Pelodiscus sinensis: one gene and its partners. The protein of the gene in region 1 interacts with the protein of each later gene in a pairwise test. Links are inferred from orthologs where the notes say so. Each region holds a gene or a part of one and is shown in the gene's direction. Other genes may lie near its edges. The genes, in order: ARRDC1, WWP2, WWP1 and ITCH.

What was found.
Region 2: the proteins of ARRDC1 (region 1) and WWP2 interact in binary tests that used the Homo sapiens proteins (3 or more experiments, as listed by UniProt). The link is inferred for Pelodiscus sinensis from reciprocal best matches to the Homo sapiens genes ARRDC1 and WWP2.
Region 3: the proteins of ARRDC1 (region 1) and WWP1 interact in binary tests that used the Homo sapiens proteins (3 or more experiments, as listed by UniProt). The link is inferred for Pelodiscus sinensis from reciprocal best matches to the Homo sapiens genes ARRDC1 and WWP1.
Region 4: the proteins of ARRDC1 (region 1) and ITCH interact in binary tests that used the Homo sapiens proteins (3 or more experiments, as listed by UniProt). The link is inferred for Pelodiscus sinensis from reciprocal best matches to the Homo sapiens genes ARRDC1 and ITCH.

The regions. Positions count from the first base shown.
Region 1 is NC_134732.1:3,461,100-3,468,588, forward strand, and holds the start of ARRDC1 (arrestin domain-containing protein 1), read left to right. Parts: upstream 1-4,483; 5' UTR 4,484-4,602; coding exon 4,603-4,720; intron 4,721-7,489. UniProt on the Homo sapiens protein: Functions as an adapter recruiting ubiquitin-protein ligases to their specific substrates. Through an ubiquitination-dependent mechanism plays for instance a role in the incorporation of SLC11A2 into extracellular vesicles.
Region 2 is NC_134722.1:1,626,624-1,633,922, reverse strand, and holds the start of WWP2 (NEDD4-like E3 ubiquitin-protein ligase WWP2), read left to right. Parts: upstream 1-4,287; 5' UTR 4,288-4,379; coding exon 4,380-4,415; intron 4,416-7,299. Other genes in the region: RNA-binding protein NOB1, read right to left, coding at 1-125, 560-631, 1,774-1,907, 2,818-2,950, 4,165-4,266. UniProt on the Homo sapiens protein: E3 ubiquitin-protein ligase which accepts ubiquitin from an E2 ubiquitin-conjugating enzyme in the form of a thioester and then directly transfers the ubiquitin to targeted substrates.
Region 3 is NC_134712.1:45,701,750-45,709,336, reverse strand, and holds the start of WWP1 (NEDD4-like E3 ubiquitin-protein ligase WWP1), read left to right. Parts: upstream 1-4,584; 5' UTR 4,585-4,603; coding exon 4,604-4,606; intron 4,607-7,587. UniProt on the Homo sapiens protein: E3 ubiquitin-protein ligase which accepts ubiquitin from an E2 ubiquitin-conjugating enzyme in the form of a thioester and then directly transfers the ubiquitin to targeted substrates.
Region 4 is NC_134728.1:35,531,943-35,539,309, forward strand, and holds the start of ITCH (E3 ubiquitin-protein ligase Itchy homolog), read left to right. Parts: upstream 1-4,365; 5' UTR 4,366-4,494; intron 4,495-7,367. UniProt on the Homo sapiens protein: Acts as an Acts as an E3 ubiquitin-protein ligase which accepts ubiquitin from an E2 ubiquitin-conjugating enzyme in the form of a thioester and then directly transfers the ubiquitin to targeted substrates.

The DNA.
Region 1 (7,489 bases):
ATCATCTGGAAATGGCCCTGTGATTTGCAATTGCACTACAAAGAAAGAGCACCTGGATGGGCTCACATAACTGGCCTATGTGTATGTACTTGTCAGGCATGACGGAGTTATTTAGGGACATTTTTACAGCGTTTCTCACTGAGGTCGCTGGTTGCCTCACAAATTCAGCCTCACAGCCTCCCTTGGTAAGGTACAACACTCCTCCGCTTGTAGGTGGAGAAACTGAAGCGCAGAGAAGTGACTGACACAACTGGCCCAAGTCACACAGGAAGAGATGACTAAGGAATGGCACTTAGATCTGATTCAGAAGAAAACTCCTGAGCTTTAGCTATTACACCTTCCCCCTAGCTCCTATACCTGGCATAGCTCAGATCCCTAAAGGCGTGGGGATCTTGGGGGTGCAGGAGTGAGGAGGGACTCTGGGCAGTGGACTGGGTGTGTGGAGAGGAGAGGACCAAAGTCCCCACCCCCTGTCAAGATTTGTACCAGGTCTGCTTGCTCTTCCCCGTCCTGGCCCTGTCAGGAAGTTAGAGCAAAGTACACAGCTTGTCTGCCCCCTGCACTCCCAGCTGGAGTGAGGACTGTGGACTTTCCCCTTGCTCCCTAATGTAGGGGAACAGCCAGCAATGTCCCTGTATGAATCTGGGGGAGAGCTTCAGCCCCCACCTCTCCGAAAGGGCATTTGGGGGTGGAAGGCTCAGAGCTGGGGCAGTCCTATATTGGAGGGGGGTTGCATCCCCAGCCAGCCCCTTTCACGTACTTGGTGATTGTACCTCTTTTCTGTTTGGTTTTCTGAGAAGCAATCCCATTCCAGGCACATCCCACTTTTCTGGCACAACCAAACCCTTACGTTGCTGTAAGTTTGGTAAGAGGAAACTGTATACCAAATTTGGTGGTCCTAGCTCTTATAGTGTAAGAGGATTTCTTGAACAAACAGACAAACACTCTGGGGTAGATAGTAGATATACTAATAATATTTCACACTTATGACTCATCTTTGCACGTGTACATTGGTTTCCTCATCTTATAAGTACAGCTACTCTTTGCTCCCCAGGTAGAAGAAGGTGTGCTTGGGACCAAAAATTGTAAACAGATGTGGTTATTTGTTTTTTTAATCTGGGATTCTGACAAATTACATTTCTCCAGGAAAAATTTCATATTCCTTGGCATGTTTAGTTTTTCAATTAACTTTCCAAATAAAAACTTTGTTTTAGAATTCTTCCTCATATTTTTTTACATTTCTCTTTTTTTCCAGTGGGAAAAAAGCGGGGAGGGAGATGTTTTTAAAAAGAAGAGAAAGTGGGATTTAGACATACACAATCGCATGAAAACATTTCAGAACAATTTTAAAAAACATAATTTTCTGTAGACATTTTTGCCCCCAAAATGAGTAAAAATTCAAATTAAACAGAAAATATGTAATTAAAAACAGTGAACAAAACATCCTTTTGTTCACCAGCTCACTCTGAAAATATTATTCCTCATGCTTCTTTATGTGCTGTTAGATAAGCATTGAGCTTTCAGGGCATTCATGTAGCTGCAGATAAGCAGAGCAGATTTAGATTAAATCTCAAGGGAAAACTTCCTAACTGTAAGACCAGTAGGACAATGGAACAGAGGCCTCACTGGAAGTTTTGAAAGAGGAAACTGGATAGACCACTGTTTTGGGTGGTTTAGACTCATCAAGCCTGTGTCTTGGCACTAGGGGTACGTCTAAATTACATGGCTCCATTGATGGAGCCATGTAGATTTGTTTGTTCGGCAAAGGGAAATGAAGCCACGATTTAAATAATCATGGCTTCATTTAAATTTAAATGGCTGCCCCGCTCTGCCGATCAACTGTTTGTCGGCAGATCGGGGCAGTCTGGACGCTCCCCTGCCGACATGAAAGCCCTTTATCGACCTCCCCGGTAAACCTCATCCTACGAGGCATAACGAGGAGGTCGATAAAGGGCTTTCAGGTCGGTGTGGGAGCATCCAGACTAGCACGCTGAGCCAACAAACAGCTGATCAGCTGTTTGTCGGCTCAGAGTGGCAGCCATTTAAATTTAAATGAAGACGCGATTATTTAAATCGCAGCTTCATTTCCCTTTGCCGATCAGCCTAATCTACATGGCTCCATCGAGGGAGCCATGTAGTTTAGACACACCCTGGATGACTTAGTCCCTTCTACTATGGGCGGTGGGTGAGCGTAAGGTTGGGGGAAGCAAGCTCCCAGCTTCACCCCTTCTGCCCAAAGCCTCCCTGGAATGTGTCCCCAGCCTCCCTGGCCCCGGAGCTGCCCCAGCATCCGCAGTCTCAGCATGGCTGAAGCCCGTGGGCAGCAACACTCCACCCCCAGAATGCCTACTGCTTCAGCATGGCTCCACGTTGGCATTCTGGTGGCCCAGTGTGGGTGAGGCCAAGCCTGGTAGTGTGGGAAGGCAACATCTTCCCATGCCTCTTATACCTGCCGGCCCTGCCATCTCGCCCAATCATTCTATGCTTACTGACTTCCAAGAGTCCTGGTGAAGCTTCATGATTAGCCTTGCTAAAATGCCTTGGATGAAAGCCACTGGGGCTGGGATCCTTAATGGGACAGAGCCCTTTCTCTACTACTAGTGGGACTGTGCCAATGCTACTGCAATGGCAGGCGACTACGCAATGTGCCAGAAGAGCCAAGACTTCCATCCGCAGTGTGAATCCCGCCAGGTTGGTGATAATCAACCCAGCTAGTAGCTGCTAAGTGGGGTTTCAAGGCAATTTGTACTGGGGAGCTGCTCTCATCACAGGAAACCACCAGCATGACTCACAGTTCTTGCCTCCCTCCCATCACAGAGAGACCCAGGACAACAAAATAAAGGCTCATAGCGACTTGGAGCCAGGTAAAAGTCTGAGTTGAGGTTTTGAGCAGCCGGGGGAAGCTTGTACTGCGGCTACCTGTGCTGTACCTGTTCGGTGGATGAACAGAGTTTATTTATTCTTCCAGTGTCCACAATCTGCCAGCAAACACAGCAGGGATGGTGCCACAGGACAGGCAGGGAGGGAGGGAGCATACTTGGGGTATCCTATGCTCCCTCCCTCGGACTGGGGACAGAGCATACTTACAACCTGGCTCCTGCCCACCAGGGGGTGAAGCAGAAGGGTAGACACCTGCAGGGGAGGAACCAGCACCAAAGGAGAGAGGCAGGGCAAGTTTGTAGAGGGAGGTGTTAGGAGAGAGGATGAGGCGGGGTAGCTCACGTGATCAGAGTGGGGCTACTGGAGGAGTGGGCACAAGGGGGAGAGAAGGGCTGGTGGAGGGGGGCAGGTTGCAGGAGCGCTGAGGGCAGTGAGAAGGGCAGTGCCACTGTGGCCCCCAAGTTATTAATAAATATTTTTAAACCTTAACCTTTTCTCTCTGCTGCCATGTCTCCTCCCCTTGTTCCATCAGCTCCCCTGGTGCCTGCTACTTCCCACCCCAACTCCTCACCCTCCTCTGCTGTCATCCAAACAAGCCACATGAACTCAGTACTGGTGCACAACACAAAATTCATTCTGCTCATGGGAGGAAACTCTTAGGCTATTTCTACACTGGCGGCTTCTTGCACAAGAACATCTTGCGTAAGGGTTCTAGTGCAAGATCTCTTGTGCAAGCACGTCTACAGTGCCATGTGCGAGCTGTGCCATTTTAGCCATAGGGGTTTCTTGCGCAAGAAATCCCTGCCAAGCATCCACACTGCCCTCTTGCGCAAGAGAGCTTACACTTGTTAGAAAAGAGCATAGCTCTTGCGCAAGACGCCCTCTCTTACCACGCCGTACTGTAAATTTCCTTGCGCAAGAGCAGGCAGGCAGTGTGGCTGCTCTGTGGGTTCTTGCACAAGAACAGCTGTACTTGTGCAAGAAGCCGCGAGCGTAGACAGAGCCTTAGAGGGAACCCTTCCCCCAGCCTCTCTGCCCCGAGTTAATGTCACACACATTGGGTTAATGCAACTGCAGGATAGTTGCATGCGGGCGGTTTGGTGGGGGCCAATCTAATCCCTGTTGGTAGGCGGATGGTGGGAAAAGCTCTTGGAGAGGAGTGACATGACATCTTTTACTTCTGGTCATGTGTCCATCTTGCCCCCTCTGTGTTACCGCCAGAGGCATGGCTAAAAGGGGGGGGGTCAGAGGCGTGGCTAAGGGGGTGTAAGGGGGCGTGGCTAACAGGGCACGGGGGCGTGGCTAATGGGGCACCACCAAAAATTATACAAGCCCATGCATGGCAGGACCTGGGGCATTTGGCTCAGTGCCTTTGCCCCTAGCCACTGGGGCAGTTGGTTTGGTGCTTGGAAACTGGCTTGGTTCCCGGCTGGGTCCCGATCTCAGCCTGCCGGGCTGGGGTCCCTCCTCCTCCGGCCGCAGCGCGGGGATGGGGGGCGCGGTGGGAGGGACCCCGCGTCTGGGGCCACAGCTGCTAGACCCCCCCCCCCCCCCGCGTACCGCCCCGGGGCAGGGCTGGGCGGGGCGGCGCTGGCTCTTTAAGGGGCTGGGCCGTGGCCGGCTGGCGCGTCACTCGCAGCAGGTAGGAGCCTCCCCCGAGCCAGCCAGCGAGCAGCCGCCGCCGCCCGAGCCCTGCGGGGAGCAGCCGCGGGAGGCCCGGCCATGGGGAAGGTGCAGCTCTTCGAGATCCGCCTGAGCGAGAGCCGGGTCGTCTACAGCCCCGGGGAGCCGCTGGCCGGCAGCGTCACCGTGCGCCTCTCCGGGAGCCTGCAGTACCGCGGTGAGCTTCCCCGCCGCAGTGCCGCCCCCCCCCGTATCCCCGGGCAGCGGGCCCCCTCTGCCCCGAACAGCGTGCTCCTAGGGCTGCGAGCTTCCCCGCCGCAGTGCCGCCCCCCCCCCCCTATCCCCGGGCGGCGGGACCCCTCTGCCCCGAACAGCGTGCTCCTAGGGCTGCGAGCTTCCCTGCCGCAGTGCCGCCCCCCCCCCCCCGTATCCCCGGGCAGCGGGCCCCCTCTGCCCCGAACAGCGTGCTCCTGGAGCTGCGAGCTTCCCCGCCGCAGTGCCGCCCCCCCCCGTATCCCCGGGCAGCGGGACCCCTCTGCCCCGAACAGCGTGCTCCTGGAGCTGCGAGCTTCCCTGCCGCAGTGCCGTGCCTTTCTCCTCGCCCATTGCGTTTTTCCGGGTGCAGGACCCTAAGGCTGCGAGCTTGTCCGCCGCGGTACCTGCGCCCCTTACTTGGCCTCCCGGTACCGGAGCCTCACCGCTCGCAGGCTCCCCTGTTGCCCTCCGGGTCCATCCCTGCACTTAAAGGCTGAGCTCAGTGTGAACAGGTTGGGCCTCTGTAAACTGCTTCCCCTCCGCCCCCACGCCGCTTGACTAGAAGCTGCCTGCCTGGTGACTCGCAAGAGATGGATTTTCAGCGAAGTCTGCTGGGGGGGGGGGGGGGCAGTTTTGGAGGCATCCAGCCCATCCCCTCGCTGGTGGGGCTTTGTGTTGTTTCATCCCACCTCCTGTGGCTAGGACTTGGCCGCCCTCCTCCAGCCTCTCCTCCGTTCTCTTGCCTCCCTTTTCGTCTGGGGGTGGGGACGGAGGAGTTTCCCTTCTGCGTGTGGGGGGTTTTTTGTTTGGTTTTTTAAAAAATCTCTCACGGGCAGCACGAAGAGAACTTGCTCTAAGGGTAGGTGCGTGCTGGGACTCAGGATAGCTTTGGGGTGTTTAAGCATAGCCTGCGTTAGCAACAGTTTACTCACTGTCTGTCTCTCTCTGTTATTTCCCCTCCAGTTCATCTGAAGTGGGTTTTGCTGTTGATTCTGTATATTCTGCTTAGTCTCTAAGGTGCCAGGGGACCACATGTTGTTTCCCTGTGTATGTAATTTAATTTCTCTCCCACCTGGGTTTGGTGTGAGCTGTATCTGGACAAAGCAAAGGTGTGTGCGCATGCTCCCCTTTCAGACTTGGGCTGGAGAGCTGTTGCTAGGACCCTTCTCGATTTCAGGTGTTTCTGGCACGACTCTTAACAGCCTTTACTTGGGGGAAGGCACCTCGGATGCTGTAAACCAGGGGTGGGCAAAATGCAGGTCATGTCCAGCTTGCCAAGTCTTTGGATCCAGCCCGCCTGGACTCTCAGGCAGGCTGTCTGCCCGGTGCCTGTAGGCATGGCATCAGCTGGCCAATGGGAGCTGTGGTGAGCGTGCTGGGGGCAGGGGCCGCGCATTATGTCTCTCCTCCCCCATTCCCATATCCCCTCCTGGATCCTGCACCCCAAGTCACAACTCCCCCTCCTTCACCCAAACTTCCTTTCACACCCCACACTCTCTTCTGCTCCCCAGTCCCCTACCCTGGGCTCCCTTCTACACCCAACCTCTGGCCCAGACCTCACGCTCCCTCCATAGAAAAGTGCAGCTCCTTAATCACTTACCAAAATCTTGATGGAGAGCCACTCCAAGAATTCTTGCTCAGCCCTGCTATAAACCCTAAAACAGACATGTAGTGTTGACCCATCATCTAGCTGTGATCTTACTGGAGACGGACCTTGGCACAAGCAGTTAAGATCTGATTCTGAGCTTCCCCATAAAGTGTAGGGAATTCTTGGGGTTTGGAATGTAGGAAGTCCATGTACTCCAGTACTCCAGGGTCCATGTACTCCAGTACTGTCTCCAATATTGGCTGCAAAAAAATCCTACAGTACACTGAGAGAAACTGTCCTCTGCCCATTTCTCCCTCCTTCTCCTCCCCTCCTCCCACCACTAGACCTCTTCCTTTTAGCTAAGATCGGAAGCATGAAGTTTAATATCTGGGTGCTGGCTTGTTTCCAGTTTGTCCCAGCTTGTCGTAAGTCATAGCTAGCTGGGTTGGAGCACATGTTAATACTTGGTCCTAAGGTGGCATCTCTCTGTGTTTAGAGGCCAAACTATTGTGGAAAATACTTGAACTGTGACCAAGTGTTGAACCCTGTTGTCATTGTAGCATGTGTATGGCAGGAGAGGCTAGGTTGTATGGCTATTTGCTCTGATTTCTGTTGTGTGTTTTAATTGTGACTGATTTATGGGTTTGCTTTAAGAGGTTACTGCATCATCCGCATGGAAGATGCTCAGTCAGAACTGTTGGAAGTGTGTGTGTCTTGCTTTACAGCCAATAGTTCTGTTACAGCCCCATGTAAGGGAGTGGGGAAAGAGGCTGTGTATAGGGACCTTGCAGAGAATAGTCTCCTGCTCTCCCCCCCCCCCCCCAAAAAAAAACCCCAACCTAACTGCTTAGTCAAACATGAGATTAAAGAGATGACAAATTGAGTAGCTTAGAGACAAAGCCCATGGCTGGGTCCAGAGGATCCTCGCTCTTCCACTGCCCGTGCTGTTCAGTCTATGTGGCTTCCAAGTTGCAGTGGCCTCTGAAGACCTCTGTAGAAGCAGCTCCCTTGGTGAAGAGCTCATGCTCCAGTGTGCGGTGAAAGTCCCACTTCAGCATCTTCCCTTGGGACCAGTTGGGCTTTGACTAATAAACGAGAATCAGGCCTGTTGCTGTCTGGAGGCTCCTGATGTGTGACTTGGCC
Region 2 (7,299 bases), on another chromosome or scaffold:
TCCTCTTCGATGCTGGGCAGAGGGTTCCTCCAGTACAGGAAGGCCCCGAACTCGGGGCTGTCCTCTGCTGCCCGCGGGCGGCTTGCCGAGGTGGACACGCACGCATCCGCCTCCAGGCGCTGGGACTGGGGGAGAATAAATACAACAAAGTTACTAGACTGCTGGGACATCCCCAGAGCCTGGGGCTGCCGCTGCCTCCTTGGTGCCCAGGCCTGACTGCTTGATCCTAGACAGGCAGTGGGGACAGAGGATTAACGTGCAGAACGATGGGACACTCCCAAGGAGCCGGGAGGCCCTGGAAGAGAAGCGAGAGCATGAAGGGAGGAGGCCAGCACAGGCAACCCTGTAACCGTTCGCAGGGCCAGGTTCTGCGAGCTCCACTCCTGTCCTGACACTGCCTGTGATGAAACACCCCCTGCCTCAGTTTCCCGGGATACAACGCTCTCAGGCAACCTCACCGGAAATGAGCCTTTGTGGGCGTGGAAGGCTCTTTTCCCCCTGCTAGCACCTTCCCCTGGAGGACCCCCAGAGGGTTATCCCGGCGCATGCAAACAGGTACCTTGGATGGCAGGTGGAACCCAGCGATATTCACAGGCGCCTCTGGATGCCGGATGGTGGAGCTCAGCTGAACCTGCGGGGGATTAAGAGCAGCAATGGGGTTAGCAGGCAAAGCAGAACTCCAGACCCGGACCGGCCTGGGCTAGTTCCCAGGCCAGAACACCGGGACGGCCTGGGGCATCTCTCCAGAACCCCTCCAGCCATGGAGCTGAGTTGACTGGACTGGCTTTCCAAACCGAGTGGAAGATGCTGAACAGCTGGCGGATGATTACACTTCAACTCATGGCTAAAACAGGCCCCCCAAGCATGGTTCAGTCCCCAGGATCTCACCCTACATGCTTACTTTGCGGGGGAACTGGTTTCCTAAGCTGGGCCACATCCAGGTGAGGGGAGTGCATGGGGCTTGCGCTGCCTTTATGCCTCCCCGGCTCTGGGGATGGAGCGGTTCCCAGCAGAAATCAAATCCCACAGGGCCACCAGAGTTAGGGCAGCCAGGGAGGCTGCCCAGCAGGTGGCAATGCTGCTCAGAGTCCTTGCAAGGTCACAGCTCTGCCCCTAACATCCTTCCCCCCTCAGCACTATTGCTGAGTGTTGGAGGCAGAGGGGCGTGACCCGCTGGCTGGGAACGCAGCCTTACAGCGGGGTTCTGCAGCACCTGCACTAAAGAATCTGCGCTGGGCCAAACGTGGGGCTTTAGAACCCTTTTATGTTGCAGATTTCACCCATGAGGTGTTCGTAAGAAGTGACAGACCCTACCTTGCAGTCACACACATTTACCTAGTGTATTGACTGACAGCTGTTTACACGCATCACGCAGTATTGTACTTTCTGTGCTGTGCATTTTAGAGAGACTGGATTTATTTTGAGGGGGGAACGGGGCGAGGTGACTACGGCCGTGCAGCTGTACAATTCTTTTAACGCAAGTGTTTCAGAGCTAATGTTTTACCTACATTCTTTATTGCAGCCAGATGCTTCTTTTCAATTATTTGTTTTTCAAATTTCTCGGCTACCCAGAAGTGCTTTTTGGAGACCAGACAAAGGGTCATGTGACATGGCACCAAGTCACAAAAATAGATTCAGCCCAAATTTTACACCAAGAATTGGAATTAAGCTCCTCCCCCCCAGCATTGTACCTCCCCACGAAACGTGTGACCCGCCCATTCATCCACCCAGCACCATGGCAGAAGCCTGGATGCGTCACTCAAGGGAGTTTACCTTTTTTTCTGGTTCTGTCTTCAGATGAGCCACTCCAACGGTCTCTGCCTCCAGCTGGTAGGTCAGGGCTAGCACCTGGAGATCTGTGGCTGACAGGCTGGGGTAGTCGCCTGTCTTTTTTGAGAATTCTGTCACTGTAACAAAGTGAGTGTGTGGTCACAGGGGGGAGTCCTGCCTGAGTCCGACGGTTCGCAGACACACGGCTCTTAGGGAGGCCTCCTAGAAATATATGAATACAGCGGGGGGACTCGGGGTACCTAAATAGGCTGTTCTTTTCTTTGAACACTCCCGTCTATTGAGAATTCTTCCCCAAACCCTCAATTCCTAAGGGCATTTTCTCTTTAAATCTCTTCCTCAGGTCTTTTCTTCTGGTCCATGGCTAGCTGTACGTAAAGGGGGGGGAGGGGTGCTGCTCTCTTAAAGAGCGCAGAATCCAGAGGTAGTGTCACTTTCTCTTGACTAATGACAGTAAGGTTAAGAGGTAGGTTTTAGTAGCAATGGGATAAGCAGATCAAAGATTCATTCCCCAAAAACAGTTTTACTTGAACGCTATCCTCCTCTCCGTGAACTTTCCCCCCAGAAATCACAGCCTTGTCCTATGTCCCAAGAACTAGGAAGCAAACCTGATTAGAAGCCAAAGTAAAAACTATTGCGCTAAGCTAGGGAGCAAATTCATAGCACTAATGGTGAGAGCACGTTTGATACTTACAATCATAGAACCATAGAGCTGGAAGAGACCTCAGAAGGTCATCAAGTCCAGCCCCCTGCTCTAGGCAGGACCAATCCCAACTAAATCAACCCAGCCAGGGCTTTGTCAAGCCGACACAATGGTTTGTTTCTCTCGCAGGAGCAGGAGCTAAATAAAGGAATGGGACTTTCACCTTGACCTGTGCTTCATAGAATCCAGAGTAGACAAACTACAACGAGCACAGCTGTTGTGAGTAAAGCCGTGCGAGTACCGGCCCTGGCAGGAAGGCCACTGGAGTTGGCTGTGGGCAGCTGCCGTAGTGCTCTGCCAGGTGCCCATGAGGCCAGCTCACTTACCTAGTTTAACATACTCAGGGAAGGGCTGTTTGAAGTGAAGCTCATAGGGCAGCACGGCCAGTCGCCTCCTGGTCTCCTTGTCCCGGATTTCACTCACCACCTCCTTAATTGTGTAAACGTTTCTGCCGAAGTCCTGGTGTATGAGAAACACAAGAATTTCTGCTACTGGGAACTAAAAGACAAATGACCAAGACCAGAAAGGACCTGGGGATGCCCAGTTCCGTAGCCAGCCTGGTGTGATCCAAAAGCAGCTCCATACACAACGCCCATCACCGTGGAGCCAGACACTGAGACAAGAGCACTCATAACAACACCCTCCCACCATCCAGCTGGGAAAGGGGCTCCCAGGGCAGACAAAAACCTGGCTTCCCTGCTCTACAGTTATTAGTGGGGTCACTGGATGACTTAGGCAAGATAAGGCCGTTCTGGAGAAGCTAAATGAATTATTTGCATCAGCCTTTGCTGCAGAGAACATGAGGCAGATTCTCACACTTGAGCTATTATTTGTAGGTGATAAGTCAGAGGAATTGTTCCAGATTGACGTGCTGATAGAAAAGAAGTTCTGAGATAAATTCAGCAGTAACTAGGGCCAGATAGTATGAAATATGAACATTTCTCTAAAATATGCAATTACAAAGCTATTTTCTATGGCATGTAACCTACTGCTCAAATCAGCTTCTGGAACAGGTCACTAGAGAACAATTATCATGATGCCCATTTTAAAAGAAGGCGCCACAGGAAATCCCGGCAATCGCTGGTCGCTAACTCTGACTTCCGCACCAGGCGAACTGGTTGAAACTATAATAAAAAAAAAACCAAAATGCTCAGACCCCTCGCGGAACAGGATTTGTTGGGAAGGGCCAGCAGGGCTTTTGCAAAGGGCACTCGGCCCTCAACCCGCCTGAATTACTGAGGAACTATTCAAATTCTTTGATTTTTCAACCAACACGTGGACAAAAGGTGACGGGGGGGGGGGGGAGAGGCCCTTTCCCGGCCAAGGCCCCCCGAAGCAGCTGCCCTGGGAGGAGAGAGAAGGGCCCTTCGCGTGTCGGTTCGTGGGGGGGGGGGGGGGGAGCAGCCACGGGCGAAGAGTCCCTGAGGGCTCGGGCGACTGGCGGGGGGGGGGCAGTCACATGACGCCTGGCAGGTCTGCGGCTGCGCCCCCCCAGCTCCGCCCCTCGCGAGCGACGTGACTCAGGGTCGGGGGGTGCCGCAGCCAGTTGCAGGACCCCCCCTTTCTCCGGGCGCCGCTGGTGAGGGCGGGGGGCCCCCCCCGCCCTGGGGCTGCCCGAGGGCCGGGGCCCGCGGAACTCCCTGCCGCAGGGTCCCCGCCCCCCCCCGCTCTACCTGCAGCGGCGCCCCGCGCAGAAAGGCCCCCGCGTCCGCCACGACGTGCTCCACCGCCGCCATCTTGGCGCACGCACAGCCCGGGGCGAGCTCGCGATGCATTCTGGGAGCGGCAGTATGCGGCGGTCGCGGGGCACGCCGGGAGTTCCCCCTCCCCCCCGTGACGCGCTTCCGGGCCGCGAGTCAGGTGGCGAGCCGGCGTCACGTGATCGCGAATGCCGGAGCCGGAAGTGGAGGCGAAGCCGTCGCCGGTAAATGCAGAGGGGTCGGGGGGGGGCTCGGCATCTCCCCCCCCCCCCGCGTGTGTCCTGGGCCGGGCCCGTAACGCGGCTCGAGGCTCCCCCGGGCCCTGCGCCGCCTCCCCACGGCCCCCCCCCCGCCGAGACCCGGTCCCGGGGCGCCCCCCCCCCCGCCGAGACCCGGTCCCGGCCCCCCCCCCCCCCCCCCGCCGGGCCCCGCGCAGCAGCGGGGCCGCTCCCGGGGGCCTGGGGCCGGAAACGCGTCGGACCCGCGGGCGAGTCCGGGCCGGGCGGGGGGGGGGGTCTCGCCGCTTCCTTAGTCCGCCAAGAGCCTCCGTCCTCTGCTCCCCCGGGCCGCGGGGGGGTCCTGTCCGTGGGCTGGTTCATCCTGGGCTCCGTGGGGCCGGGCCAGTGGGGGATCCGGCATCGTCCCCTTTCCAGCCCGGGGCTGCGTCTAGACCTGTCTGCACGGGCCGCTTGAACCCGGACTCTCGTGTGAGAAATCAGCGCCTCTGGCGGGGATACTGCGCTGCTCCCTTCGGGTACAGTCCTTTAGCAGAAGGGCCCGTGCAGACCGCTCAGAGCAGTCTGTGTCTTTTTAATCTTTCCTTGTGTGGAAACCACGCCGTAGCCTCCAACGTCTGTGTCCCTCCCTGCTAACCGTGTCCACTTCCACTGTGTCCTTTCTGAGCTGGGGTGACTAGAACTGGGTGCAGGATTCAAGGTCTGCGTGGACTGGAGGTTTATATCCTAGTGATCTGTTCACACACACAAAGGGGTGGAGCTTTACAGCTTGTTAGGACAACTCCACCAAGAGAGCAGCTGCGCTTACGGAAGAAATTCCTAGTACTGGAGCTTGGTTGCAAATCCGCTTCCTCCCGCTTGTGAACGTGGTGAGGGGCCCTCTTGTGTCAGGGCCCCAGCGCCTGTGAATTGTTTTGTGATCTGTTCCTCCAAATTGGTGACGTGTGTTACTATTGGAGTCACCCCTTGTGCTTTAGATTCTGTGTAGTAAAGTCACGTGCAGTTTAGATTCATCTTAAAGACCCACACGCTCAGGGCTGGAACCAAAAATCAAAAATCCACCTGGGTGCTTATCCCCTGTTGGATCGAAAACTTTCCGGGTAGCCACAGCTTTTGTGCAGCCCTTAGGAGTGCAAAGACCTTTTATAAGCTCAGAGTCTGAGCTGCCTTCCTGAATCTGCGGCTAGCTCTGTGTAGTTCTCCCTCCCCTGTGGCTGGGGGGGGTGCAGTGGAGCAGCAGATATTCTTGTGTGCACATTGCACCAGCTCAATGGCTATTGGGTTGTGGGGGGAGAGGGCAGAAAGCAGGAGACCATCCCCCCTGGAAGCTGGCCAGTGTTTCAAGGGCATGTGCCACTTCCTTTACTTCATGCCAGAAACTGATCTGAAAGACTCCCTGAGGCACAGCATCCCACAAGTAGCCAGGTGCTATGAGGTGGGTGAGCCTGCATGTTTGCCCCTAGTGGGTGGGGTGGCTGGGCAGTGTTTCCAGCTCTGTGGGCTCGTCTACACTGGCCCCTTTTCCGGAAGGGGCATGTTAATTTCACCTATCGTAGTAGGGAAAGCCGCAGGGGATTTAAATATCCCCCGCGGCATTTAAATAAAAATGTCCGCCGCTTTTTTCTGGCTTTTAAAAAAGCCGGAAAAGAGCGTCTACACTGGCCCCGATCCTCCGGAAAAAGCGCCCTTTTCCGGAGGCTCTTATTCCTACTTCAAAGGAATAAGAGCCTCCGGAAAGGGTGCTTTTTCCGGAGGATCGGGGCCAGTGTAGATGCTCTTTTCTGGCTTTTTTAAAAGCCGGAAAAGCCGGAAAAAAGGGGTGGACATTTTTATTTAAATGCTGCGGGGGATATTTAAATCCCCCGCAGCTTTCCCTACTACTTTCCCTCCTACTACAGGTGAAATTAACATGCCCCTTCTGGAAAAGGGGCCAGTGTAGATGTAGCCTGTGTGTGTAGTGGGCAGGGCAGGGCCTGTGTATTCTGTGGCATTGGGTGCAGGTCCTGTCCCAGGATTTTGCACCAGTCTGGCTCCAGTTTTCTCCCTAGCCCCCTCCCGCTGTGAAAGCAAGGCCGGCTGCTGCCGCCTTGGCAGGACAGTTCATCAGTAGCCTTGAGAAGTGCAAACTGCCCCATTTGTCTCACGGTTCGTTTACATCTACCAATGGTACTTTGACATTTAGCTCCTTGGCGGCAGCAGGAACGTGCACGTTCCAGCATCGCTCATGCGCTCCTGCCTACGTGTTCACTGCCACAAGCCTGGCTGCAAATGCAGTGGGGGCATACAAGCCTTTGGTTATTTCCTCAGCTCCATCAGTCCAGAGCATGCAGGGAAGAGAGGGGTTGGGCAGAGCTGGCTTGCTCCTACGGGGCTAGAGGCCTTCCTGTGTGACTGGGTTAGTCACGCATCAGCTGTTAAAGCAGCCCACAGCCCCTGTCAGTGTAAAGGGGCTTTCTAGCCACAGAAGGATCCTGCAGGGTGGGGGTGGAGCTGTGAGTGTCTGGGGTGGATAGATGCCATGTGCCTGTGGCCTGCTATTGTCACCTGCTGTGTAATTCAAATTAATGGAGGTTGTCTATCTCCTAGAGCTGGAAGGGACCTTGAAAGGTCATCAAGTTGAGTCTAGTCCCCTGGCTTCACAGCAGGACCAAATACCATCCCTGACAAATTTTTGCCCCCAACTGGGCTCCGCAAGGATTGAACTCACAACTCTGGGTTTAGCAGGCCAATGCTCAAACCACTGAGCTATCCCTCCCCCCATGCAGGTCCTCGTCCTCTTCCTCTTCCTCCTCCTTCTCCTAACTGCTGGGAGCAGCTGCTGAGAGCGCCTGGGCCGTGGCATGCAGGCGGCCTGCTAAGGAAGCTGGGAATT
Region 3 (7,587 bases), on another chromosome or scaffold:
GAGGGTCTCTGTGTCAGGCGGGTAACCTTGTTTGTGCCGTTCCTGGCCTGGCCAAGGGGGTGGATGGGGCTGAGCCCTGACCCGTGTCCGTGCCGAGCTTGTGGGAAGCGCTTGAGTCGCAGGGAAGCAGCAGGGCAGTCCCAGAGGCGGCCCTTGTCGCTTTACCTAGAGCGGTGAAAGAGGAGAGGGAGTTAGGTAACAGAAATGCAACATCCCTCCGCGCAACCGGGCAGGGGTCCAGGGATACCCCAAGCCTCCCCCGCGATAGACGTGACCCTGCCGCCTGCCTTCCCCACCCTCCTTCTATGGGCAGGGGAGGTACTGGGCTGCTTTGCTGCAGCTCGTTGTGGGGCTGGAGGGACAATTAATGCTGTTACTGCCCAGCTTAGAAGTGCCTGCAAATCTTTCTGGTGCTGTGTAACGTCTGACTCCTTCAGTGGTTGATATTTGTATTTTAAAATGTCAGTGGTTTAACAGAATATGCAGAAGTTATTTGCTGTTGTTATAAATGCTATCGTGAGCTACAACAGCATAGTGTGTGTTCCATTTACTGTAGTGACTTCTTTCTATTTACTGATCCTTATTTTAATAACAAAATAGGTGTCTAAATGGAACTACATTAAAGGCATGCATTTTGCTGTACGTCCCTTTAAACAAGATTTAGTTAAAACAATCTGTCAAAATATATGAACAAAAATTAGTACATGAATTTGTAACAGAATGTTCAAATCTGACAAAGTCATTTTCAAAAATACCGTGATGATCTCCTATTCATATAGGAAATCATCAGAATGGTATTCTTGGGTAGCTATCCAGGTTATACAATTATGCAGAAATTGGCTCACTAGATTATGCTGTCACATATTTAGTATATTTAACATATGAATGAATGGATGGATAGCACTTCCAATAAAAATAGTGCAGCATTTATATTTTGCTTGTGCTACTAAACAGTTTTGTTGGGGAAAGAATAAATTGATTATTGATGATGTCTTATAATCTTTCACAAATTCATTGAGGTTTTTATTAAATGGGATTTGATAAACTAATGTTAATCTACTACATTTGAACTCAGTTAATGTATTTCAGTGTTTTCCTAACTTATGGTCTAATGAGCTGTAAAGGCTTGACCAAAATGAAAACTGTTCATGGTCTTTTCTTTATTTTTGGGGAGGAGGTGGCAGTAGCTTACTTAGACTCGGCCCTAAGACATGAGTGAAATGAGAGGCCAAAATACATGAAACTCCTATTACTTGTAAGACCAGTTGATTTTTTTTTTAGCACTCTTATGCCATTACCTCTCTTCCCCATGTGGTGGTGTGTACAATAGGTTAGACTTCTTTATAATGGACTGATTCTGCAAACACTCCTGGATACAATGTGCTTTGTGGAGTAGTGCTTATGGCCAGTAATGTTTTTAGTGTTACATAGTTATACATGTGATCATAATGCATATATGTGAAGCTATTCATATAGGTACGAATTTGCAACATCTAGGGCAGCGCTAGGCATCACAGGCTAGTGAGTGGGCCACATGAGTGGCTGTCCATCTCAGTGGGCTGCGAAATTTTTGTGACAAAGATAGTCTCTCAGTATACGGTAGTTTTGCTAACTGCACTTGTGTACCTAGAATTTGCAGGATGCGTCAACAGAAACGTAAGAGTGCTTTGATTGGATGCAGAAGAAGCGCACTGCTTTCACAGTCAATGTTATGTTCAATCAACTTGCTCCTCACTTCACATGCCTTTGTTTTACATGTGTATCACTTTAGTAATACTGATAGGGGGGAAAAAGACACCAAAAGAAACCAGCAGAATTTGACAACTCTGTGCATGAGCAACAGTAAATGCAATGTCTTGCCAGCAACATACAGAACCCTAATGGGCCTCATATGGCCCTCAGGTCACAGGTTGCCCACCACTGATGTAGAGTGTGCCTTCTTGGAGTAACTTACCAATTGTGGGCTTCAGTTTGTTTCTTTGAAGCTTAAAGGATATGTTGGGGTAGCAAATGCAATCCCCGGGTTACATGGATCCGACTTACATCGGATCCCTACTTACAAACGGGGTGAGGCAACCCCACACTAGCTACTTCCCCCCAGCAGACCAGGGAGATGCGAAGCTAGCACCCCACCCCAGCAGACCAGGGAGACGCAGAGCGGCTTTTCTTAGCAGACACGTCAGCTTGAGAATAAAGGACTGAGGGAAGTGAGGTGTGGGAGAATAAAACTGAGTTCTGGAGAAATGTTTGGCTAGAGTTTTCCCCTACAATATGTACCAGTTCCGACTTACATACAAATTCAACTTAAGAACAAACCTACAGTCCCTATCTTGTACGTAACCCGGGGACTGCCTGTAGTTTTTAAAGTCTTACATTAAAAATACATTAATGAAACAAATAAAATGTTAGCAGATTTGCACACCTATTTGAGACCAAACTTGAACTCTGTTTTGCCTGTGCTACAAGGGCACCGTGGAAGGATCCAAGATAGAGGTGATCCACTTTTTCTCAGATCATGGAAGGACTCATGGAGACATAGTTGTTTCGTTGTTCTCTACTAGTCTTGTCCTTAATTGCTCGCCTGACTCTTTGAAAAACACTGAAAAAAGAAAAAAACCTGTCTCAGAATTCGGTGCATGAATGCTGAGTTGGAATACCCTGCCATCCTAATCACCTTCTTCCCTCTCTCCTGAAAAGGAAATAGTGGAGCCTGAGAGATCCTTCTAATGTTTTCAGTTTTGTACTGTGATTAAAACAGGGATCTAGGGGATGAGTCTTCCTCACTCATTGACGACTTTGAGAAAAGAGGATAAAGCTTGACATAAAATTGTTTTAATATTTAGAAATTAACACATTAAACAGGCTTCACAAAACAAAAATTGATATACATTTAGAACCAAAACTAGGTGTTGAGTGCTGCTTTAAGATAGCCACTTTAAAACTAGGATGCAGAAAATGAAGCCAATGGGGGGAGTAAATAACTTTTTAAAAAAAATGCTTAGTTGTAATTTCAGTACTTTACTTGGCCAACTTGGCAAGCAAGTATACCACATGGTTGCACCAAAATATGAACTTTGTTAGTAAGAATACTGTTATAGTTTTTTTAGTAATATTACCTTAAAGTATGTAAATTATAAGTTAAATCTCTTTTTAAAACCCAACTGTACTTACTGTGTGTGTGTAATTTTTTGCATGCCTATTCAAAGTCTTCTCTTTCCAGAGGGATCAGTCATGTTACTCATGGTACTGTTAACCACTCCACTTTTTAATTAATGACACTTTCAGAAATTCGTAAGAAATTTTCACTGGATAGTTGAGACAGGTTTGTAAAATACTATTGCCAGTGCTAAATTCAAAATTTTCTGGGTTGTGTGTGATGCTCAGTAGCTTTTGCAAGTTTTAACCTTTTCATTAATAAAAATTAGATTTCAAGCTCTTATGTTTGCAGTTGATGCAGTGCAGTCTTCCTGAGTTTACAGGCAGCACCAGTGCTGTGGCTGCTGTTCATATCTTTTCTAAACAACGGAATGAAAGTAATGGTCAGTTTCACTTGTTTCATTACTGGTCACAGTGTTCTAAATAGCAACAATTAAATTAACAAGAATCCTGTTATTTTTTTACTCTGCTGCATTTTGTGAAAGCCATAAACAAGAACTGCCAAATTAATTCTATACCAAAGACTGAATTCCATGTTTAATTATGATAGTGGCTCAGAATATAAATTTATGACTATATATTATCCTTACTCCACAGTCAAATTCCCACAGATGGCAGTGGGCGATTTTCACAAAGAATCATTGTGGAATATGGCCCAGTGTAGTAAATAAACTTTTACTTTTATTTTTAAAATTGTAATATTCAGTAAGAAGGATTGTTTTTTTTAAATACTCTTCTTGAGGATCACCACTGTTCCTTGGGTTTTTTTCTGTCTTCATCACCCTTCTCCACCTCATTTCCCCTCTTATCTGTTCAGCTGATCAGCAGTGAAATAGTTAATATTGACTATTAAAGTGAGTATTGCCCACTGGCATTAACTCTTGTGTGTGTAACAAATGGCAGCAGGGGAGTTCACATTTCAGACTAGATCTACACTAATCCCAGCTAAGTCAATAATGTAGCTGGAGTCAATGTACCTTAGGTCAAGATACTGCGGCGTCTATCTTGAATGGGGTTGATGGAAAACATTCTCCTGTTGACTTACCTTACGCTTCTCATCAGGGATAGCATATAGGGGTTGACTGAAGAGCGATCTGTGGTCAATTTGATGGGTCTTCACTATACCCACTAAACTGACTGCCAGTGAATCGATCTCCACTCTTGCAATACAACTGTAGTGTAGATACTGCCTCAGGCTTTGTGTACACTAAGGGGAGGAGGGGACTGGATTACACAACTACAGCTACATGAATATAATAGTTGAAGTTGATGTACTTAGATCTTCTTACTGCGGTGTCTTCACTCTGCTGTGCCAATGGGAGAACTTCTCCCTCAGACTTCACTTATGCTTCTCAGGACAGTGGAGTATACAAATTGATGGGAGAGTGCTCTTCACCCGACCAGATAAATTGACTCTTGCTGCATCAGTTGCTGCAATGCCTATCTAATGGTAAGTGTGGACTAGTCTTTATTTTGGGCTGTTTTCAGACTCTCTAAAAGGCAACACTGCACTAGTTACATGCAGGTCACATTTTGAAAGCCACCTCCTTCCTCCGTCTCAAAACATTTTTTGTGTGTGATTGTAGATGTATATATTTTTTTAAAATAAATTATCATGACTATTAAGGCTGCTATAAAAAGAGGTGGTATTTACTAAGGAGCAAAAGGAGTGGACACCCCACCAAATAACCTTGAGAGATATGGAAGAGGAAGCTCCTTCCTACCAGAAAAAGAGGTACTCTAGAATAATGGTTCTTGAGCAGGGGTCTGGGGCTTGATGGCGCTGGCTATTTCCATGTGGAGAGAATCATGGTTGCTTCTCTCCAGACTCTCTCCTGAGGCAAAGCAGTCAGTGAAGGTTCTCCGCTTCAATGGGGGGAGGGATAGCTCAGTGGTTTAAGCATTGGCCTGCTAAACCCAGGGTTATAAGTTCAATCCTTGCAGAGGTCATTTGGGGCAAAAATTTGTCAGAGATGGTACTTGGTCCTGCTGCAAAGGCAGGGGACTGGACTTGATGACCTTTCAAGGTCCCTTCCAGTTCTAGGAGATAGGCAATCTCCCCTAATTAAATGGGGTGGCCCTGTGAGAAGGAGATTCTAAGCTCCATGGACTAAAAGACTCTTTCATGACCTTCCACACCCTCAGCCTGTAAGTTCTGGGCCTGGCTCATAAGAAGTTCCATCCTCAAATCCTAGTATCTCCGTCTTTCCAACCTTGAGAGGACTCAAAAAAAAAGGGGGGGGGCACATTTGCTAGGGAAGAGAGAGTCTGTTTCACTCTTCCACACATCCTGGCTCCTGGCTTCTCCCATTCCCAGGCCCACTTCTAGCACCTATTTTGAGGGTACCTTCAAGGACGACGTACCTCTGATATTGCCACATCCTTCGTCTTGTAACATTCTCATACCATCTCCATCCTTTCTTTCCAGCCTGGTGCTTTGTCACTTCAGACTGGTGGGTCCTCAGTGTAACGTGGCAGCGTTGTATCCTCCAGCTCTTGTCTATCCCCCTTTCCCGCTCCTCTCCCTGTCCCTCTTCAAGGACTCTTCTCATGAGCGGCTCCTTCTGCAAGAAGTTGAAGGACTTGTTCAGATGAGGGTCAGTGTAGGAGGTTCCAAAGTGCTACAATAACCAGGGATTTTATTTCCTCTACTTGCTCATCCCCGAGGCTACAGGATGAAGGGGCACTTCAACCCATTCTGGATCTGCATGATCTGAACTGTTACCTGGTGAGGCTTAAGTTCTGCATGATCTCCCTGGCCTCCATTATTTCTTCCCTGGATCCCAGACATTGGCACACTGCCCTCGGTCTCAAGGATGCTTACTTCCATGTTGCCATTTTTTAGGGGCTCATAGAGAATTTCTGTGATTTCTGAAGTGCACTAGGAATGTTATTGTGTAATTGAATAGTTTTGTAATCAAGTGGATTTTATCAGTTACACAGCTATTTGATAGTCTCTGTAGTGGGGAGGAGGGCAGCAGCCAGTGTGTTCCAGGCTCCACTCCTGGGGAGACCCCTGCCATCTTACATTGCTGCCTTTCTCTCAAGGACACCAGCATGGGGTGGCAGGTGGAGTTGGTTTTGTTAAAGCTGGCTTCTGCCTGCCACTCTGTGCTGCTGCCTCTGCTACAGGAGCAGCAGCATGGGGTGGCAGCAGCCCCTGTCCAAGGGGGGGTCCAAGCTCCCCATGGACAGAGGTTGCTCCGGGGCAGCAGCCCCTATCCACAGAGAGCTTGGTATGCCCACAGCCAAGGTTTGCTGCCATGGACATAGGCTGCTCTGTGGGATGCTGAAGCCACCTCTGTCTGTGGGGAGCTCGGACCCCTTGCAGATGGGGACTGCTGGCATGGAGCAGCTTCCCCTGCCCTCCCTAGCTCTGCTGCCTCTTGGGGACAGGCAGTACCGTGGAGCTATTGTTGGGGGGGGGGGGGGAGACCATCTTTTAAGCTGGCTCCCCCAAGCATTGGCTCCTGCCAGCCTTCTCTGCATGGCTTCTGTAGGAGGCAGCAAGGTGCGGGGGAAGCGGGGTCCATAGAGTCGACATGTGTGGGGAGTCTGCTTGAAAGCTTGTCCCACCTGCCCCCCTCACCCTTCATGCTGCTGCCTCTCAGAGGCATCAGTGAGAGGGGCTGGGAGGGGGGAGGGAGGTTAGGCTTATCCAGCTTCTCATGGGCACTGGCTTCCTCTCCCTGCCTCTGATACAGAGGCAGCAAAGCCAGGGGGTGGGGGGTGAGGGGGAATAAGCAATAAGGCTGGTCAAGGGGGACTCCTAGTCCAATGTCCACCTGCATGTGTATCTTCTGCTCTGCCTATGCCACCAGCTTGGTCTGTTGATGAATTCAGAAAAGTCTGTTAATGCTGATTCAATGCAGAGAGTTTATGGAGCAGAGCTGGAGTCTGCTCTGGCCCAGGCCTTCCTTCTGCTGGATGGCTTTCATGCTCTCATGGACCTCGTGACCCATCCGCATACTAGGAATGTGATTGTTTAACTGTTACCCAGGGACAGTGTCCTGCTTATGGCCCACTGTGAGTGGAGGGCTGCTCCCGCCCTGCAAGGCTACTGGCTCTTAGCTCATGTGGTCTGGGAATCAGCAGCCTCGCACAGGGCCGCAACCTTCCCTCTTACCCTGCTGCCACTTCTGGCCTGTGTGGGGGAGCCATCTTCCCCCCCACCCCGACCAGCCATGTGTGTGGCTGCCGACTCCCAGCCAGGGTGAGCTGGGAGATGGAAGCCCAGCGCAGGTTTGGAAGCAGCTGGGCTGGAGCAGCCCTTGCCTGTGGTGTGGAATCCGCTCCAGCCTAGCCATGGCTCCTACCTCCATTTAATCAGTTAGCCAGTTTAACCCAAATTGAAATTTGTGTACTAATTAAATGAGATTTTACTTCCCTACTGTGTGCTTCATGGAGCACTACAGCCAGAATATATCTTCC
Region 4 (7,367 bases), on another chromosome or scaffold:
TGTGGATAGAAGTAGAGGGGCACTAGGACAAACATGGACAGGAACAGAAAGGCCTATAGACATTTTAGAGCAGCTAAAACTGAACTCAGGATTTCTATGCCTCACTATTCTTGTACTCTGTGGCAAATAGCTGTGATGCTCATTGGCAAAGGGTATCATCCTGCTCTAGTGGCTGACCACATATAGGATAACAACCTACTACTGCTATCAGCTATTCCATTGGTTCAAATGGCCAAGGTCTGTACTGTGAATCTAAAGATCCCAACATTGCTGGTGACTATGAAGTTCAATTAAGTTCTACATCGTGAATTTTGTGTGGTTTTTTTTTTTTTTAGTTTGCTTATATAAACATTCGGAAACTTACATTTAAAAATGTTAAAAGAACATTATGGTTGCAAATATAAGCACTCAACACGAACATGCCAAAATTAAGGTTACCCTGTCAACCCTAATATGGCTTCCTTGTGATTCATTCATAACTAACTAGATTTTAAAAGCTGGAAGGGACCATTAGATCATCTAGGACTAGGCTGACTTCTTGTATAACATAGACCATAGAATTTCCCCATTTATCTCTATACTGAGGACAATAACTTATTTGACTAAAGCACATTGTGCATGATGTACATTACAAGGACCATGTTGTGGATTATAATAGACTTTAATTACCCAGCCATACACTATTAGACTGGATTGGGCTCTGAGAGTGAATCGGTGTTGTGCAGGGGGCCGGGGGAACAGTAATATCAAAAGGATGATTGCATGATGAAGGCAATTAAATGCCACCCTCAAGAACTATCATAGAGTTCCTATGTGTGGCTAGGGAAATCACTTAAACCAGAATCTGCACCAGTGGTCTCTAATTGTGTGTGTGTCGTTTTCTGGATGCCTGCGTTGAGACATCTGGGGCATCTAACATTAGGGGGACACATTTGCCCTTATTCTCTGTGCCTCATCGGTAAATGGTGATACTAATGCCACCACAGCCCATGAAGACAAATTCATTGGGGTGTGTGGTACTCAGATATTATAATGAGAACTGTACAGAAACACTCTCTGTCCTCTGGGCAGGGTTTGGATGTGGTGCAGTAAATAAGGTAGCTGTGCAATATTTCCTTTTATCCAGTAGATGCACACTGAATAATGAGGATAACAGGAAATACCAAATAGCTGCCCATTCACTGTGCACCAACCTTTTCACTGAATTAAGCAGGGGTCCCCTGGGAATGCTAGCATCTGATCAGCTAATTAAAGAATGTATTATTATGCCTACACACAAAGAAGCCACACTAGTGTAGCACAAGCACCTTAATTCAGGCATTTCCTAACTTTTAAGTGTTTGACTTTGCAATCTTAAAGGTCTTTTAATATAATGCTTTTGCATGTAATGTATTATGTGCAGACAACACTGGGCTCACAAAAGTATTTGTGTGTAACAGTTCATATTTCCAACATCCTCCATATGTTGCTTATCTTCTTAAAATTAACATTTCTGGCAGGAAGAAGCCTGTGAGAGTTTGTCCAGCATCCTCACAATGGGGCTCTTTTGGGGTTTCAATAAATATAAATGGACACAATGATCTTTTGGGTTTTTCAGTGTAAATAAGTAACACAGTAGTGCTCAAGTGCCATACAAAATAGTTACTCCTGTTTCTTTTGCTCACATTGATTCTCCTGGAAATGATAATCTCTCATATCACTTGAAGTCTTTGTTAGTACTATTACTGGATGTGAGTGGGAAACCATGCATCTGTCCCCACTAATGACATCTGTATCCTCAGTAGCCGAACAGGATTTCAAATGAGTGTTCCCAAATACCTTCCTTGTAGGACAGCATTATTCCATCTTCATGAACAAGCTGAGGCTTTGTCTACGCTTGAAAGTTTAAAGCACAGCCTTGGCAGTGTGGCCACTTCAGGAGTGCTGGGCAAAAGCTCTCCCAGTGCTCCAGTTCATTTTTCCTCAAAGTGCTTTAAGAAGAAAAAATGAAGCACTCTGGACCCTACCCCGCCACTGCCCCACCCTCTGACTGCCAGGCTTCCCCTGCCTTGCCCCTCCACCAAGCATCCTCTGGCTGCCAGACACCCACCTCCCCCTGCCACTACCCCGCCCAGTGCCCTCTGGCTGCCAGACACCCGCCCCCCCCTGCCACTACCCCGCCCAGTGCCCTCTGGCTGCCAGACACCCACCTCCCCCTGCCACTACCCTGCCCAGTGCCCTCTGGCTGCCAGACACCCGCCCCCCCCCGCCACTACCCCGCCCAGTGCCCTCTGGCTGCCAGACACCCACCTCCCCCTGCCACTACCCCGCCCAGTGCCCTCTGGCTGCCAGACACCCGCCTCCCCCTGCCACTACCCCGCCTAGTGCCCTCTGGCTGCCAGACCTACTTGGTACAGCCCCATCCAACCAGCCCCCTTTTGCCAGACCCCAGTTTTTCTCTAAGGCTGTGTCTACATTGGCAAGATTTTGCACAAAATCTTCCCGCCTGTCTACACTGGCTGCAAGTGTTTGCACAAGAACACTGATGTTGTAATGTACAAAATCAGTGCTTCTTGCGCAAATACTCTGACGCTTCCGCTCAGGGATAAGCCCTTTTGCGCAAGTATTCTTGCGCAAGAGGCCAGTGTAGACAGGCAACGTTAATTTCTTGGGCAAGAAAGCCCGAAGGCTAAAATGGCCATTGGAGCTTTCTTGCGCAAGAGAGCGTCTACACTGGTTTTGCGCAAAAGCACATCTCTTGAGCAAAAGCACATGCCAGTGTAGACGCTCTCTTGCGCAAATACTTTTAACGGAAAAACTCTTCCGTTAAAAGTATTTGCTCAAAATCTTGCCAGTGTAGACGTAGCCAAAGTGCTTTAAGATCATATAATCATAGAACACTAGAACTGGAAGAGACCTCAGGAGGTCATCAATGTGTAAAAGTGCAATGTATTACAGCAGAACCTTGATTTTATGAAGATTTATGTTATAAACAAACAATTATACAAACCATTTTTCCCTGTGAGGGAAAAAAGTCACATAATAAAAGTGAAGTTGATGAAGAAAAAGTCCACAACCTTTCATGTTCTGATGCCATCAGTGCATTGGAATTGCTTGGCAGCGGTCTGAAGGGCATGAAAAAGCAATACTTATGCACAGTACCTACTGTAATTTTGAGATGTGCAGTTTTATGAACTGTTGAACTTTATGAATTCCTTAATCTTCATTAGTTCATAAAAATGCGTCCTAATATACTATTAATGAACAGTCTTGCTGGTGCTTCAGTAGAAGCCCAGGATTGACCAGACTACGGAGACTGAACTATCCTCTCACTCTTAGCTGGTACAGTGGTATAGCAGGCAATGGTTGGAAAGTATGCTTTGTTTCCTCCTTCCATGACAGATCTGTGGATGAAAAGGATTTCAGTGCTGTAAGTGCATTTATACCTAAAGAGGTACACAGATCCATGCAACGCAGAAATCTCTTTTTGAAACTGTACCAGTGTTTATGTTTCTATCTAAGGTGCTTAGTGCTGCTAAATTTTTTATACTGGAGCTGGTTGCAGCAGCCATGTTCCTTTGGGATTTGCCATTCTGATGATGGATTAGGCCTTTAGAGATTAAAAGTGAAACCCTCCACTGCCACTTTTCAAAGAATAACCATATTATACCTTCTCTGTATGAAATAAATTCAAAGCACATCTGAACCCGCACAGAGCACCCCTCTATGGGGAGACTCCACTGCTAGCACAGAGCACCTCCATAATCCCGGTCTGGATGGGTGCCACATTACCTGCACAGAACCCCCTCCAAATTCCTGTCGGGGAGGTGGCCCCTACTCCCAGAGTTGCCCCCAAGGTCTCTGTGAGCAGAGGCTCTCCATAATCCTTGTCTAGGTGAGTTCCCCCTGCCTGCACAAAGTTCTCCCCCAGGATCCCTATGGGGAAGCTCACACAGAGTCCAACAGTCCCTTTCTGTGGGACCCCCACTGCTCACAGAGCCCGCCCCCCCCAGATCCGTCCGGGAACCCACCCCGCGGTTCAGTCTGGTGGTGGCACCTGTAGCCCACTGGGGCTTGCCCTGCAGACCCTTCCCGGCCGCTAGGGGCGGAGCGCGGGGAGCAGCTGACTCGCTCCAGCTCTGGAGGGGGAGGGGCGGGACTGGGGGGAGCAGCAGGGAAGCGCGGGGCTCGGGGCCACTCACGCGGCCAGTCTCCATTCCTGGTGGCCCACCCTCAGCCCCTTCCCCTGCGGGAGCCGCGCCAGCGCCCAGTCCACCGGCTTCCCTCGACCCATCAGCTGACAGTCCGACCCCAGTCCGCCCAGGTAGTGCGCGTGCGTACTCCCAGCGGGGCATTCTGGGAGTTGTAGTTTTCACCCTCCACGCCCTCCGCCATCGCTGACTCTGCGCATGCGTCGTGGCCGTCCGACTTTGGAAAGTCGCTGCCTGAGGTTGGGCTCGGACTGGCTGCCATCTTGGCGGAGGGCTTGAGGCGCTGGCCCCGCCGCCCCGGCCGGTAAGGAGTCCGCCGCGGAGAAGCGGCTGCGCCCGCCCGCTCGCCTCTCGAAGCGCTGCCGCGACTCCGCCGGGGGGGGCTGGGGGAGCCGCTCCCGCCCCGGGGCTCGCAGCGAGCGGGGCGGGGGCGTTTCGGTCCCGGCCCCTGGGGCCCCTGCCCCGCCCCCCGTGGGACCCCCCCCACAGCCCCGCCCAGCGCTGCCAGCCCCCCCCCCGGCACTGCCCCGCCCCGCGCCCCCCCCCCCCCCGGCACTGCCCCGCCCCGCGCCTCCGGCTGCCAGACCCCCCCCCGGCACTGCCCCGCGCCTCCGGCTGCCAGACCCCCCCCCGGCACTGCCCCGCCCCGCCCAGACCCCCCCCCCCGGCACTGCCCCGCCCCGCCCAGACCCCCCCCCCGGCACTGCCCCGCGCCTCCGGCTGCCAGACCCCCCCCCGGCACTGCCCCGTCCCGCCCAGAGCCTCCCCCCCGGCACTGCCCCGCCCCGCCCAGACCCCCCCCCCCCGGCACTGCCCCGCGCCTCCGGCTGCCAGACCCCCCCCGGCACTGCCCCGCCCCGCCCAGAGCCTCCCCCCCGGCACTGCCCCGCGCCGCCCAGAGCCTCCCCCCCGGCACTGCCCCGCGCCTCCGGCTGCCAGACCCCCCCCCCCCGGCACTGCCCCGCCCCGCCCAGAGCCTCCCCCCGGCACTGCCCCGCCCAGAGCCTCCGGCTGCCAGACCCCCCCCCGGCACTGCCCCGCCCAGAGCCTCCCCCCGGCACTGCCCCGCCCCGCCCAGACCCCCCCCCCCCCGGCACTGCCCCGCGCCTCCGGCTGCCAGACCCCCCCCCGGCACTGCCCCGCCCAGAGCCTCCCCCCCGGCACTGCCCCGCCCAGAGCCTCCCCCCCGGCACTGCCCCGCCCAGCGCCTCCGGCTGCCAGACCCCCCCCCGGCACTGCCCCGCCCCGCCCAGACCCCCCCCCCCGGCACTGCCCCGCGCCTCCGGCTGCCAGACCCCCCCCGGCACTGCCCCGCCCCGCCCAGACCCCCCCCCCCGGCACTGCCCCGCCCAGCGCCTCCGGCTGCCAGACCCCCCCCCCCGTCACTGCCCCGCCCAGACCCTCCCCCCCAGCCACTGCCCTGCCCAGCGCCCCCCCCCCCGCCTCCCGTGGGACCCCCGCTCACTGCCCCGCCCAGCGCCTCCGGCTGCCAGACCCCCCCCCCCGCCACTGCCTCGCCCAGACCCTCCCCCCCCCCCGCCACTGCCCTGCCTCCCGTGGGACCCCGCCCAGTGCCTCCGGCTGCCAGACCCCTCTCCCCCCTGCCCCTGCCATGCCCAGTGCCTCCAGCTACCAGACTCCCCCCCAGCCACTGCCCCGCCCAGCAGCTGCCAGACTCTCCCTACTTCCCTGCCCAGTGCCTCTGGATGCCAGACACCCCCCACCACGACTGCCCCGCCCAGTGCCCTCTGTCTGCCAGCTTCTTCCCCTTGCCACTGCCCCACCCTCTGACTGCCAGGCCTCCCCTGCCTTGCCCTTCTGCCAAGCATCCTCTGGCTGCCCCCCCCCCTCCCCCCGGTCACTGCCCCACCCAGTGCTCTTTGGCTTCCAGACCTCCCTGCTACTGCCCCATTCAGCCAGCCCCCTTTGGCCAGACCCTGGTGATCTAATCTCTAGCCAGACCCTACAGCTGACCAGCACACTTTGGCAACCAGATCCAGTGCTCTGACTACAGTCTTCTCACTGTCCAGTCAATCACCAGCCCATTCTGGTTGATAGACTTCATTGACCTGGTTTGTAGCTACTGCGCTCACCCTGAGTTGGGGGTATTCATTAGCGGCTGTCTGATTCTGGATGATTTGCCAGCCCTGGGGTGGTTTGCTGTCTCTTGCTAGGTTCCTCTATCTTGCATGATGCCTGTTTTATTCATACACTCTGCCCCCCAAAATCACCACCAGGTGTTTGGCTTGTGTGAGTTGATAACTCATTCCCCCCAATTTATTCCTCTCAATCCAATAATTGTCTAGCTCAGCCCCTTTCCCAGACTTTGAAATGAACCTCCTTTGACTACTAGTGTCTTCACTCTGTCCTGACGAATCTTGCTGCAGCCATCTCACTAGTGTTTACTTGCTTTGTCCTATAAATAATGCAGTGTCCTAAAATGATGGCCCAGAACACTAAAGCATAAGTGTTTGTAACTGCAATGTGAATGGTTGTTTTGGTACACTATGTATAATCTTTAGTAAATAAAGTCACTCTAGAATGGCAACGTTGGGCCCCTCACTTCTAGTTTTGGAAACATCGATAGGCCTTAGTTATTGATCCTCTAGTATCTAAATGTGTAGGACTGACATTGCGAGACAATAAAATCCAAATTGTAGGTAGAGGAAGATTACAATGATGTGCGAGTTATTTAACTGGGTCTGAAATTTTGGGCCACACCTCTTTCAAGATTTACCTTGTTTTGATAGCTATAATTTATAACAACAGGGAAGGCAGCTCCAGATTTTTGAGAGGCAGCAGTAGAATAGATGTACAGTAAAACTCCATTGGTCTGGCATCTGATGGTCCGGCACCATCAGGAACCCGGAAGTGCTCCAGGCAGCCGGACCATTGGAGCTGCTCTGCCCCCGGCTTCCCCGATTCAGCTGCTGCTGAAACTGACCAGCGGCTGAATTGGAGAAGCCGGGGGCAGAGCAGCTGGAGTGCTGCTGGTAGGTCCCATAGCGCTGCCCCTCGGTGCTGCGGGACCAACCTGGCAGCACCCCAGCTGTCCCCCATTCAGCCACTGCTGAAACTGACCAGCGGGCTGGTCAGTTTCAGCAGCGGCTGACTTGGGGACGCTGGGGGCAGAGCAGCTGGGGTGTTGCTGGGTTGGTTCGGTAGCGTCCTCAGTGC